Linked DNA regions of Lytechinus pictus. Each later gene encodes a partner of the first gene's protein in a complex. Links are inferred from orthologs where the notes say so. Each region holds a gene or a part of one and is shown on either strand. Other genes may lie near its edges.

What was found. The genes of interacting proteins can lie anywhere in the genome.
Region 2: mediator of RNA polymerase II transcription subunit 19-like (region 1) and mediator of RNA polymerase II transcription subunit 4-like share a complex: the UniProt entries of both Drosophila melanogaster proteins name them as parts of the mediator complex. The link is inferred for Lytechinus pictus from reciprocal best matches to the Drosophila melanogaster genes MED19 and MED4.

The regions. Positions count from the first base shown.
Region 1 is NC_087246.1:20,716,609-20,723,891, forward strand, and holds the start of mediator of RNA polymerase II transcription subunit 19-like, read left to right. Parts: upstream 1-4,272; 5' UTR 4,273-4,318; coding exon 4,319-4,493; intron 4,494-7,283. UniProt on the Drosophila melanogaster protein: Component of the Mediator complex, a coactivator involved in the regulated transcription of nearly all RNA polymerase II-dependent genes.
Region 2 is NC_087260.1:10,322,332-10,330,260, reverse strand, and holds the start of mediator of RNA polymerase II transcription subunit 4-like, read left to right. Parts: upstream 1-4,905; 5' UTR 4,906-4,928; coding exon 4,929-4,996; intron 4,997-6,129; coding exon 6,130-6,190; intron 6,191-7,929. Other genes in the region: eukaryotic translation initiation factor 4E type 2-like, read right to left, coding at 2,114-2,133. UniProt on the Drosophila melanogaster protein: Component of the Mediator complex, a coactivator involved in the regulated transcription of nearly all RNA polymerase II-dependent genes.

The sequences.
Region 1 (7,283 bases):
CCGTTATGCACAAGTATATGCACACTGATGTTTATTTAATGTAATAAAATGCATTATGAGATTCATAATTATATGATGAGCATATTTAAACAGTTATCAATAAAAAATTAAATCAACCAAATATTACGTTCGAACAGGAACTCCAAGATGAAGGTTTTCTATGTCTTCCTCGCTCTCGCGGTCGTCGTCGCCTCCGTTGTCGCCATGGAGGAGGAGGAGAACGAGCTCTTCGATCTGATGGACAAGCGATCGATGGAGGAAGGAGATCTCTTGGAAGAGATGGCCTATGGAAGCGAGCCAATGGTGAAGAGAGGACGATTCAAATGTGAGTAAAAAATAAAATAATAGGATACATAGTAAAAACTTTGTTTAATTTTTTTAATGCATTTTTGTTTACTATCAACCTTACAGTATATGTTGTTTAAACAGTTTTTTTTAACTGTTGTAGTTCTGTTCAATTACTGCAACATGCCGTTTTGATATTTTTTCAAATTTCATTTTTATAATTTAATTTACAATTCCTACACTCGTTTGATATATAATGCATTTTGTTTATAATTTCAGACTGCAAGAATTCCAACGGTGATAACTGTGTCTGTGATCGCAAGTACAGACGTAACAGTAGAAGACGTTATGTCAACTGCAGACCAGCCAACACAGGAACACCCGTTTAAAATTCAAACAACAGACAGGCACCTTTGTATTATGGATGGATAATTAATTCAGATGAGGTATGAAAAAAACATTGTACTAATTTAATTGCCTGAAAATAGGGGGAAATAAAGGCATTTCAGTCGTTGTAGTTGTTAACCATGCATCCAACTTAAAATCCAAACAATATAGACGAAGCATCTCAGTTCGGACTTATTTCTACAGAGATATATTCATGTTTAAAGGACAAGTCCACCCCAAAAAAAAGTTGATTTGAATAAAAAGAGAAAAATTCAACAAGTACAACAGTGAAAATTTCATCAAAATCGGATGTAAAATAAGAAAGTTATAACACTTTAAAGTTTCGCTTAATTTCACAAAACAGTTATATGCACAACTCAGTGACATGCAAATGAGAGAGTCGATGATGTCCATCACTCACTTTTATTTTGTTTTTTATTGTTTGAATTATACATTACTTCAATGTTTACCAATTTCACATAAAGGACCAACTTAACAGAACCATAAGATGTAGTAGCAATGGTAATACCACATGTTCAGGGAGGAATAAAACTTCATTTCGCAAGACAATGAGGAGAATATTAGAATAATTCATATTTCATATTTTTTTTCAGTTCAGTTCAGTTCATTTATTCATTTCTAAAAAATTCAACGAGTACAGATATATATACATAAAAATCAACTTTTTGCTGGGATGGACTTGTCCTTTAATGTGTAATGCCATTTTTTTTTGTCTGTGAATCAAAATGATGATTCACAATTTGTACACTGTTGTTTATTCTAAGTAACTGTTCTGCAATTGCAAGGGATGCATGCTATGCAATTTTGTTTATTACTTTTTCTGTAGAAATGATTAAAAGAATTCGAATTTAAATTCAAAATCATTCATTATATTTACCTTTATATAAGTATAATATTATATCTGATTTTGTGTTGCAATAAATATGGTCATGTTTACTTTTTTTAATAAATTATAGAGCATTCTATCCGGCGGTTTCATTATACTTGAGGTTGCATGGTTCCAAGTCCAGTCGAGTCACACAAAATGTTATGGAAAATAAAATTTTCTCCAAAATAAGATAACTAACCAATCCCGGACTTCCCTCCTATTTTAGCTAAATACTGATTTTGCACTCTGCAAATAAATTTATGATAACAAGATATTATTACTCTCTTAAGTATATACTGTTTCTAATCTTTTGCTGTACGTTGCACATGAATTGACGACGAGCTTGTTTTGTTCTTTGTTTACAGTCCACAACTCTCCTCAAGAAATCTATACTGGTCGTCAAACATCATCTCATTGTTCTCCAGGCAAGCCAGTGAGCAAATTTCGCAGAAAAGATGGAAAACAACATTTTTACTGTTGATGTACAATAAACACCCTGCTCAAGTCATCTCATGTGCACCTAGAGTGTCAATATTTCAGTATTTTGTGTAATATGATGAGTAAAGAGGATGAGGGGGAGATCGATAGATAGATAGAAAAAGAGGGAGAGAGGGGGAGGGAGAGGGAGAGAGAGAGAGAGGGGGGGGGGGGGCTCTCGAGAGAATATGTGCCGTGATAAAATTATCTTCGGAAAGAACTAAAGATGTCAAAACGGTGTTGAAAAATAATTACGCCAATAAGACATTACCTCCTCTTTCCAAATTTAATTGACCCTTAAATTATTAATTCCATGTGGAGCTTGTTCGGTTAGAGTGAGTATTTTCACTATTTGGGTGGAAATCTGTCATATTCATAATTTTGTTTAAAATAAGTTTCAAGATTTTAGCTAATATCTCAAGTTTCAAAAATTGTATTTTGATATGTAACTCATAATGCGAACGTATCGCGAGCTAATTTCTTTTTTATTGTTGCAAGCATAGTACAACACGGAGCTCACAATATTCATGATATTGGGCTAAAAAATCTAATTATGATCTGTAAATGGAATATTCCATTTGATGACATAATGATCGATGTGGGAATATTGTAGAAATTTATGAATACGACATGGATTTCACTAAAGTCTAAACAAATAATACGAGCAAGAAGATATTTAAACTAACCCCAGTAATTTGAGGGGGCATATAGGCCCTATGGGCCCTATGCTAAAGTAAGCCGGTAAGTCATATATATATAGAGCTTATATCCCTATAGTACAGTATCTCATCACTAAAATGATAGATATGCCAGCGCGAAGCCGCGGTTTCTATATCATGAACAGAACACATTTGTCACAAAGAAATCATTATGCATGCATGAGAACGCGAGCGTGCGAGGTGAAATTTTTATTAACTGCATGATCTGAAAATGGGATGTAAACAATGTTGAACATGAACTAAAAATGTGATGCGAGCACGTCGACTTTTCTCATAATAAACCCGACAGGGGAGCATTTTATTAATTATTAAGAGAGCAATGCTAGTTTGTTAAGAAAATCAAGCCAAAAAAGCAAAAAAACCCGTTTCATTCTAATATGAAAATGATTTTGGTCAGAAAAAATTGACTAGTAAAAAAGGTTTTCTCTCCAAAATGAAGGCTGCTTCGGCAGCTTCAGCACCCCCACTTCCCAGGGCAATGAGCCGTGGCCCTCCGATCAGAATTATCGAAGCCACATTGCTTTCTGCAAACATGTCTGATCAGGGGCCCGTTGCCAGCTAGGAGATTTAATATAACAATTAGAAAAATATCATTAAAAAATACACATGTTTTGAAAGTTATTCAAATCAATATGAATAATAATATTTTTTTTTACATTCCCCCTCTATTAAAAATTCATGACATCATAACAAAGGTATAAGTACATTTGAACTTAATATTTTCATAAATTTTACATTGTCATAGGTTATTTTTTTCATAAAAGAAATGTATATACTTAAATGAATAATAAACGGGCCCGGTTTATTAATTATACAGTGCGTCCCACAAAAAACGAAACCGAGATTTATTCAATGATTTATGGCCTACCATTGTAAAGCTTAGAATTTCCTCTTTCATCTGGAATTACTTAGATTATTTAGATTATTATGAAATTATGGAAATACTAGCATTGTTTCGAGAAAACATAACTTTTTTACTTCTGAATCATTTTTGTGAATAAGGTATCAAAAAAAAAGAGCAGATATTGAACTTTTTAGGCATGTGATTTTCTTTTTGAAATTCAGATACCCCCCGCCAAATGAGTTGTTGGTATCCTTTCTTCAAATTGTTTTTGCTCACTCATGCGTGAATGAGGAATAATGTAAATAATATCAGATGAAAGAGGAGATTCTAAGCTGCTATGCTTTACATTGATAGGTCATTTGTCTATTGCAGGGGCCGCAGAACCGGGGGGGGGCTTCACCCCCCCCCCACTTTTTTCCAAACCGTGTACAAAAATGTAAAAATGACCATATGATTGTGATTTTTAGCATGGTCAGCCCCCCCCCCCACTTTTGGCTCAGCCCCCCCCCCCCCCCCACTTTGAAAACCGTTCCGCGGCCCCTGTATTGTATTTATGATTAAGTTATGATAAATCATCGCTAAATCTCGGTTTCGTTTTTTGTGGGACGCACTGTATATAGGCACTATCAATAACCATTAATTAATGGTTCTGTCTCCAATAATGTTACAGCGCCCTCTCTTGTTTTCTAGGCAGACCAAATTGGTGAAAAAGAAAAGATGTCGCTTTTCAAGCGAAGTCCCTCCGACTCTTCTTCAAACTACGGAGGCATTCCTCCAAAAATGCCGACACCGATTCGTCAGAGATCTCCAATGCCAACGAAACAATTCCTGAGTCCACCTAGCGTTGATCCAGAACCGTTTTATCTGCTGAAAGACCCACCACTATCCAATGGTAAGTCGGAAAAAAAATAAACAGACCCACCCGTATAAAATGATGTTATGTTGTAGCCTAACTAGACAACTTGAAGTTGTATGGCAGTGTATCCTATTGCCGGACACCTTTATTTCAGTGCTTTAAAAATGACAACTAGAGGAAATACAATCAAGAAAAAATCACATTTGCTATTCCAAATATTATGAAAATTATGAATATGATAAAATTATTTTATATTTACCAACCATTTTCTTTGCATCGCAGTTGCCGCATACCCCTCCACGAAAAACAATTATTTTCGTGCGCGACAAATTACATCATGATTCCGGACGCGTGCCGGACGGGTAAAGATATCTTTGATTATAATGATGTAAGAACAAATTTGTGTGATTTTTTTCTTCTTATATCATATGAGTAAATTCTAAGTTTTTATTTGCTTTTTATATCGAATCTGAGCAGATGTTGGTAATAAATTCGTGTTTGATAACTTATTTTATTTTTTCTTGTTAGCTGCATGTTCCATGGCACTTTCCAATAATATATGCTCGCGTTCGTATCGTGACGCTCGTCAAGTTCTATCGATGCGCTGCCGATCGACGGCTCTACTCACGGTAAACCTCGCGCACGGGTACCTTGAGAACTAGCCGTCGACGGTCACCCACAATATACCACACCTCATCATTCGATCGAAGGAGTGGACGAGATTGAAATTCGGCAAATCAGGCCCATATTTCCGTTAGAAAATATGTCAATCGTTAATGTAAAACTATGTTATATGCACTTGTTCACTGCAACCATCCTGCCTGTGGAGAATCTACAGGTAGGACTATGGCATGCCAATGCTGTACACAGCACACACTTTAAAAAATGATTAAAATATCACTTTTGTGACCAAAATTACTAATTTCCATACAGTTGCAATTTATTTTTCATTAGTAACTTGGGAATAATTTTTGTATTCACTAGAGCGCTCAAAAACTTGAATTTTGGGCATATTTTTGTGTACGCCCTCTATTGATAGAAAATAATATGGCAAGAAAATTTTCATTTTTTAATCTCTATTTTTAATTAAGAAAAAATAATTTAAAGAATCAAATTTACTTAAGGGCCAAGTTGTATGACGAATAACTGTGATGGAAACTGTCAGTGTAAAAAAAATCAAGCATTTTTCCCAAAGAAAAAGAGAAAATAAGCCAAACATTGCCATCCTTATTTTGCCACACATGGAGATATAACTGAGAACAAGGTTATATCATAACCTTGTTCATTGAATGAGTGGTTATATGATATTTTAAGCATTTTCTGTCATTTTAGAGATAATAAGGTAAAAGTTGGATTTTTTTCGCCTTGTTTTTGCAATCTTGTTCCATGTATTGCTCTGTGAAATTGAATTGCGGAAGTCATACGGTATGAAATTGTTTTCGAACGCAGTAATATGCGCGTCCGGAATCATAATGTGTCCGGTAATACAATACGTGACTATATGATGGGGTGTCCAAACTTCGCGGACTTTTCAAAAATATTCTTCAGGCTTAATTTTGTTCACAAAATATTCACAATTTATACAAAACCAATTCAAGAAATAGTTGACGGCAGGATCATTAATTATAAAATCATTGATGAAAATGTGAAGTAGGTCAAGACAAGGGCAGGCCAAGCAAGGCCGGGTTTCGCCGGTATCGCGATTTCTCAAAATTCCATTCCCATCGACGAATGTGCGCTGTGCTGGAAAACCGCTGACGACAAAATGCCATAGAATCAGTCACTACCACATTTAACTCACATTTTTGATAATATCTGCTTGCAAAATGATGATATCGTGATGCTTGTTGAGAATATCAGATTTTTTCGGAACGGGCGCTAACGGTGACAAATTTGCCGATCTTTTGTCAATATTTTCATGAATACTGAACTCATCCTAAAAAAAATTACGCCACAGGGTAATTTTAAGTCGCTTTTCACGTTGATGATGTCAGATTTTAAGAATATTGTCTAGTTTTCTAGATAATGACCGTCCGCGAAGTATGGACACACGCAAAGTTTGGACTCACTGCCATACGTTGTCGTTGTAGACAGTATGAAGAAGAGGGGGGGTCACCCCACTCACACTAGTACGAGGTTAGTTACCTCAAGCGATGTTCCTGCAGGCTCCACTTCACTACCGCTACACTTACCCGAACATCGAGCCCGTGAACTCGCTCTGATATTCCGAGTGACCGTTTGCGTTTGACAAAGTCAAAGGTGGGATTTTATGGGGGGAAAATATAAAATTCATGCAACATCACGATCTTTAAAAACAATTAAAACTAATATTCTTACTTTACAAAAAGTTTCACTGCTTTTCCATGCTTCTATCAGTCTCAAAATTGGTGATCTAGAGCCAACATAGAGTTCCTCACACGTATTAATAATTCGCTGCCGATTTCAAGACATCGCATGCGCGTGCGTGAGGGTCTGAGCTCGGACCCTCGCTCATGCGCATGCCAGGAAGCCTATTGATTTGGAGGTCAAAAGGTCAAAGATCAAGGTCACAGTGACATGTTTTCATCTTACCCTTCTGAAGTCCTTGTAAACGCGATAACTTCAGTTGAACTTAACCTAGGCTCATATAATTTGGTGTGTATGATACTAGGATGGATCCCAGGAAGCCTATTGATGTTGAGGTCAAATGTCAAGATCACAGTGACATATTTTCATCCTCCCCTCCTGCAGTCCTTGTAAACGTGATAACTTCAGTTGAACTTAACCTAGGCTCATATAATTTGGTTTGTATATTAGCATGGATCCCAGGAAGCCTCTTGATTTTGA
Region 2 (7,929 bases), on another chromosome or scaffold:
CAATAATAACCTTGTCCTCTGTTAGGACTCCCATGTGTGGGAAAAATAGGGTTGGCAATGTTTGGCTTACTTTCTCTTGTTCTTGGTATAAATGTATCTGGGACAAGCTGAGTTCCCAATAAGAAAACTTAGGCCTGATGAGTGATGCTGAGCTGAATTTTGTGCCAGGACACTTCACTTCAATGCAAAGTTCCAGGACATGTGCAGAGCAAGCACAGCAACAGGTTTTTTTTTTGGGGGGGGGGGGGATAAAACCTGGCCAGGTCTGGCATGTTAATGAAAGTGTGTGCTGGGCATAATTTGACCTGGCAACATCTACAAAAGTCTGATGTCAATAATATTACAATAGTCTCGACTTGCACAAACAAGTTTAAAAAAAATAAAACACTTTGAATTGGTGCACACAATTGGCATTAATGCAATTTCGTATTGGCCGACTACGAGAGAATTTTCCAACCAGCAATTGTTCGCAAATGTCATTAGGAACTTAGTTAGGAAGTCTCTCAATCACATTTTTCTACATAGTACAGGCACAAGGCAGATCATAATTCATATGCCCATCGCTTTTCCGAATATCGCGATCAGCAGGAACGGCTGTATTTTGGTTGGATGTCGAGGTGATTGTCGAATTTTCAGTCAGACATCACTTGCTTTTGGTCGCTAACTTCAGTCCTTAGGCATAGCATAGCCATAGGCATATCAAAATTTATAGTTTTACACGGTATGGCGCTTCCATTTCCAAGCAAAGCAATGTCTGAGTCTGACCGAATCTGACTGAGGCTGAGCTGAGAATGAGACGAGAATTCAACAACAATGAAGCAGGCTTAGGTCCACCCATGGGTTCATATCATCTCGCGTGCGAAGGAATATCAGTCATATGCACGCGACACACACGACAAGTCAAAAAGATAGTGGGCTTTTGCCCACATAAAATATCACCAATAATCTGGTATTTCACATTCTGCTATGACACTTACCGAATCATTTAGATCCTTCCGTGACTTCTCCTTGAAGTTTTTTCTTAAAAATATGTATATTTTCTTGATCTTTAGTGAAGATTTCACGGAGATAAAATTTGGTCAGCGTAGATATCAATTTTCGCCTAAAGAGGGCGCGCGATTTATATTCATATCAAAGACACGACAAGGGAAAGATTAGGAACCTACACTATTTTATACGCAAATCGACGCAAGGCATTACGCGAATTCCGTGAAGTGTCCAATCTTTTCATTGTATAGACTTTGGTATACCATGACGTTCGTTAATACTGCTTGTACTGCTGGTTTCGTTCCAGGCATGTGTATTAAAAAAAATAAAAATTATATTAGTCATCGCTTTAAATTAATTGCAACAAAAGTGTTATCATCGCCAATAGTAATCCTGAATTATGTTTTTGAAGGTATTTTATTTATTGGTGCCCATAATTAGTAAATTAATCATAAGAATTGCGCATTCAAAGAATTTAGACACAGTTATAAAATTACCGAGGAGCTGAATCAAGGTTGTGAAATTTATTAGCGCCACCAACGGGCTTCCTTGTATTTCCGTAGAAGAGACAAACGAAGTCACTTGCTAGGCCGAGGTAAGCGAAATTTGCTCTTTTTAAATGAAATGAGTTCAATATCATATGTATAATTTTGTTATGTATTGCTACTTACCGGAAAGAGCCCCGGTGCGTAGCGAGAAGGAGTTTCGGCAAATATTACTTCAGCAATGAAGCAATGTTTGCCGACTACTTCAAAATCTACGGTCAAACAAGGTCCGGTGTACGAGGTTCGTATATATATACGAACCTCGTATTACTATTAAGTATTAGTGTGAGTGGCTTAGGACAGTAACTTAGGTCGAGATCCAACCAAAATACAGGGATTCCCTATCTCGATATTCTGAAAAGCGGTGGGCTTACTATGACTTGCTATGACATTTGTGAACAATTACTGGTGAGGGAATTCTCTCGAAGTCCGCTGGTGCGAAACTGCATTCGCGCCCAATAAATAGGCTAAATAAAACATAAAAATGAATAGGTGGGACTGGCATTTGAAACCAGCTGTAGAATATAACAGACGTTACATCCAAAATCATATAAACTGCACTAAATAATTAGTATTCTTACATGTCAAATTGGTTATTCATCTCTAGGTCCCCTTGTTGAGGTCTAAATGCAGATAATTCACGGTTGAAATCTCGTAATCTTCTGAATTCCAAGTCATACAGAATGATCCACGCACGTTCACGATATCGATATCGATAAGTATACTATCGGTTTTTTTGCCGGCGCGGCGGCCGGCGCGGCGCGGCCGCGCCGCCGGTCGGGGGCGCCGGGCAGGAGGGGGCCCAGCCAGCCGGGCCGGTGGGGGCTATAATTTTTAGGGTTTTTTTTATTATTATTGTTTACCGGAAGTGTTCACTGTTCAGAGAGGGTGGTTCGTCTAATTTGGGTACATTCATATCCAATTTATGTATAAATTTATACCAAAAATCAATGTGGACGCGACGGATCTAGACCTCTAGATCTACTAGGCCTAATAATAATAATAATAATAACAATGAAAGCAAGAGAGAGCTTTCCTTTAAAATGAACTGGCCCAGCTAGATTAGACTTCGAGATCATTCGATGCAATTAGATCGATAAATATACCCTTTTTTATTGATGAAATATACATGTATTTTTTAAAAATCAATCCCAATCCCATGTGATTTCTCAAGATGAACATTTTTAAGTAATTAAGTTTAAAAAAAAATCGTGTCTGATGTTATAAGCTTAAAAGGTAAGAGCAAATATCCCCGATCCCTCGTGGTGATCTATATCCGAAAAAAAGGTTATAATGACAAGAAAAAAAAATACAGATATTGAGTATGTTTCATTATATTTATGTGTCGTTATATGATTCATTGTCAAACAAAAAGAAATCAGGAAGAAAAATTCGCCTATAATCTGTTCTCAGCAACTGAATGCCACCAATACCAACAACATACCGAAAATGTGTAGGGCCTATACAAAATTATTATATCGTATAGACCATAATATGCAGCAACAACAAAAACATAAAAATGGTAAATAGAATTTAATTCTTTTCAGTGGTTTATTTCATTTCTATATCCATTTTTCAACACACAAATCAGAAATAGACCTTCATAAATACATAGGCCTATCAATTACATAAATAAATAAAAATCAATCATAAAAAAATGAGCTGACACTTGCTAATTGGCAATAACACTGCAAAAAATACAATAAATAAATATCAAAGATAGATAAAACATTTTCAAAAGTACATGTATGAATGTATGCTTAAAAACAAAGAAAAGAAATGTAAAAGAGACCAAGAAACGTGGCTTGTATAAATGCAAGAATAAAAAAAAGCAAAATCACCAAAAATATTAACATTGAAAAAAAATGTATTAATGAATCATACATAGGGCCAACGAGAGAGAGAAAAAACAACTGACAACAGGCGATTAAAAGCATGTTCATGCTAAATTAGCAATGGGGAAAAATAATCCTCACCACCTCACCACCGCTGATTAGGGAAAGTTCACCCTGACAAAAGTTGTAAAAATAGCAGAAATAATATAAAAAAAACATTGGTGAAGGTTTGAGGAAAAACCCTAAAAGAACTTTTTTTTAATTTACTAGAATTTCAATTTTTGGATTTGTGACGTCATACGCGAGCAGCTTCCACATATCGTATGGTAAAAAAGCAAACAAACAATGGAAATTCATTTTCTCATAAAATTGAAAATGGTTTTTATTGTACCTTCGATCAGTATAGGCCTATACCAATCAAAAAAAATATGTCACACCCACTCCTGAAAGAAATCAAACAATTAATGAGTCATCATGAACCACTGCAAATTTAAAATTTATGCATTTTATAATGGGGCAGCTGCTCATATATGACCCAAAAAAATAAAAAAAACTCTAATTAAATATTATAACTTTCTTAACCTTTGATGGATTTTCCTCAAACCTTCACCAATATTTTTATAATTTTTAGGGTGAACTTCCCCTTTAAACAATTTTCATGTTAATAGTTCATATTTCTTACGTTATGAATTTTGATTGAATCTCCTAGCCGGTCACCATTGTGAACTTATTTTTGCGTAGTTTTATATGAGGGAAAATAAATTCGGCTTAAATAGTCAAATTTGACTGAAAATCCGTAAAAAATCACCTAAAAAAGAAAAAAGAGTATATTATAGACCGGCTTGACCAGTGATGTACGAAGGGCCTATACAAATGGGGGGGGGGGGAGCCTTTTGTCAGACCAAGAGAAAAAGAAAGGAAAAAGAGCTGGGTGAAAGATATTATTTTCTGAATATTATGTCAAAATCTATCACAAATTTGGATTTATGTGAAAAGGTGTCAAAAATTTTGCTCGCTCGCTTCACTCGCTCGCAAAAAAAAAAAATTTCCCAATATGCCATATCTGGCCTTCTCAAAATTTTGGGTTCACGTCGCCACTGCATGGCCGGGCTTGACCTTGTATCACGAAAGAGCGTAAAGTATTATTATTATATAGTTTTGATGATAAATAACATTTATTCCGCACCTTGGATATCGCCTTCTTAAAAAAAAATGTAATATATGATTTAATGCATGGGCATGACGGGTCTTGAAAAGGGATCGAGGGGGCTCGGCTAATCATGCAAAAAAAAATGATAATAATTAAAAGAAAAAAAAAACCCAAAACAGATGGTGAAAAAATGGAGGATGAAGCTTCATCTAGTATTCTTTTTTGGTCTTCTTCTTTTGTTTTTATTTTTCTTTGAACTTTATTGAAAGATTGCCTTTCCCCCCGTGGTGGGGGCAAATCAAGGGGCAAATATATGTATTACATACGGTACATTTTCACTCACAAGTTTTTGCCAAATCTATAAAGTAGTCGAGCACCATCTACGTTCACTTCTGTCACGACGAAAGCAAGATGGCGGCTTCCATGACGGCAAAATCAAGACTTCTTTCTCTTGTGGAAGAAGCAGAAGTGTTAACAAAGTGAGATAAATTTGATTATACTGTGTATTTTTGGTGATGTGATGAATACATTTGATGAACGATTTTGGTTCTCTCTTACCTAACTCTTGTAATGACAACTTGGGCTTGGCCTTGTTCAGATGTTGAACGACTCTCGCCTCGCCCTCGGCCCTCGGCCAGCCCAAGCCAGGCAGCCGCGATTGGAGGAGGGAGCCAGCGGCAGCGCTACTACTTTGCTGGGGATTGATATACCATGAAGATGAGAGGAAAGGAAAGAAAAACAGAGCATTAGATTCTACGAGTAAAAGAGAAAGTGCACGAAATGAAATAGAAATGAATAATAACAGAAAAAGAGGAAAAGGGGTGAGAACCCAAGAAGAATAAAACAAAAGGGGCAATAGAAAAAGTAAAGTCAAAATGAAATGGGGAAGTAAGACTAGGCCTAGAGCAAAGAGGAGAGACAGAAAGAAAAAGAAACAATGGAAAGGAGGGATAAACGGTGGGAAAGAGGGATATTTTGTTGGCATACATCTCACTTTATTGCATGCTCATAAGTCGTACTCAGTCATAGACAGCTGGCAGCCGTCTGTTTTGAGGAGTTTTTTAACATTTTTTTTTTTTAAGTTCTCCTCATACACAGACGGCTCGCTAGCGTGCAGCCACCATTAGGGGACTTGCAATGCAAAATCCCCCCGTCGGGGCTCTTCAATTTTTGTCTTTAATCAATAAACATTTTGAAAATTAATGCGACCAAAATGCAAATTGATATTCCCTCTTGGCATTAATTGCCAAGAAACGGTGAAAAATCGAGTTAAAAGGAACAAAAACAGTGACTTACCTCGGCTGTCGCGCAAATTCACTTCCCCGTTTTATCCGATCTTAAGTACATAAACATATGGCCATTGAGTCCCCTGTACAGATCGCGCTAGAACTTCGGTCTCTGTATTTGGTGAGTGAAGCCAACGGAGTTCAGCTGAACAACCAACATAACAGAGACCGAAGCTTTTGGTCTAACTCAGTCATAGACCACAACATTACACTTACAGAACATACTGTATTTTTTTTCTTTCTAATACTGTCAGAATTGCAAACTTATCTGTAAAGGAGCTCTTGAAAAATATTAATTTGTGTTTTTGTTTTTGTTTTTTACACAGAGACCTCGGTGAGGCGACATCAGCAGTTAGGCAAAGAGTTCCTCATCCTGATGAACCTCAAGTAAGTTCTTCTTAATGACTGTGTGACATTAAGCTAAGAATTGAAAAACAAAGCAAAATCTAACAAAACAAAAATAATGGATCAACAGAAAATTCTAATTATTGTTTTTTTGTTGTTGTTGTGTCAATATACTTTATAGTGTAAATATCATATTTTCAGTGTGTATTTTAACTTGGCCCCTTTTTATAAGCTATGCCTTTTCCTGGGTCACCAAACCATCATTTTATGGATGTATGTTTTGGTATTTGTATCGATATGCAAGGCTCGACATTAGCGGTGGCCCGGTGGCCCAGGGCCACCAAAAATTCACCTCGGGCAACCATTATTGATAAAATGTTAAGTTTTGGTGGCCCGAATCGGGCAACCAATAATTTTCAAAGTAGCGCAATTTTTCTCCCAATTTTGCACGCATTTATCAACTTTCTACAGCTCAAATTGCAAGCCAGTTCGTCATGCGCCCTTTTTGTTGATCTACACACAAATACACACACACAAAGTTTGCATATTAGGCCTACAGCTATAGCATACAGCAGCTATTATCCAGCCAACCGCGCCGGCCGGCTGGCGTGAGCTTTGCATGAAGCCACTGAATACAGCTGTGCTCTAGATCTAGCTCAGCCTACTCAGATTCGGGGAGCTGCGATAAAAAATGTTGCTGCTGAGAAATCTTCCACAGAACTTTGAAAATCTCAGTCAAAGTCACATTTTACACCAATGAAATGCAATTCTACAGTCTATATTACGAAAATCTGGTGTACCCTGATTATTTGCAAGTATTAAGAAGAGGAATTATGACCTCTCTTTTGACTCAAAAAGACCGATTTCCACATGAATTAATACACATAAAAACACATCACAGTCCCACATGTGCATTTGTATGTATGTTGATACTTGGTTTCTTTCGAAGCTGTGTATTTTCTAGCCAAAAACAAACAGACAGTTTCTTTCTTTCTTGTTTATAAATGACTTCTTAAACCACTCTTGAGAAAGTAAATACTTTGGGAAGGCATTTCATTGATATGAAATGTGATTTTTTTTCCAACATTTTGGCAAATATAGGGAAGGACTTTTTTCACACTTTTTATCCAGAATCACCAGATATAATTTTTGCCGTTTTCTTATTTTTTTCCTTTCATTTTTTTTGACAGTGGTTAAACCATTTATACCCCTTCCCATTGAATATGCCTGATTAAAAAATATGTTTCTACTGAAAATAAAATAATACAAACTAAAGGATATAAAAATAAAAATGTGCCATTCCCAAAAAGTAAGTGAAAATTATTTGCTTGGCTTTTAATAATTATATTCCAGTCAGAATAGACTGTTGCCACAGCTGTTAAAAAATATATGTAATGGCTTCTTAATTTTCCCCTTTTCCCCATTTTTTTATTAACTTTGTTTTATTAATTTTTCTTTCATTTTCTTTTCTTTTTTCTCTCTAATTTTTTTCTTTTCTTTTTTTTCTTTTTTTCCCTGTTCTTTGTTTTTTTCTTTCTTCATTTTCTTTCTTTTGTTTTATTTCACTAATTTCTTTTATTATTTTTGTTTTCTTTTTGTAATATACTTTTTGAAAATTATTTTCGTTTGTTTCCCCCTTTTATGCATTGTTCTAATTTTGCAGCATATTTTTCTGTGATTTTCTCCTTCTATAATATGCTGCTAAAGAGAAAACAGAAATAAACTGGATTTGGGGCATAATCTAGGTTTTAGGATTCAAAGAGGAAGGAAGGAAAAACCAT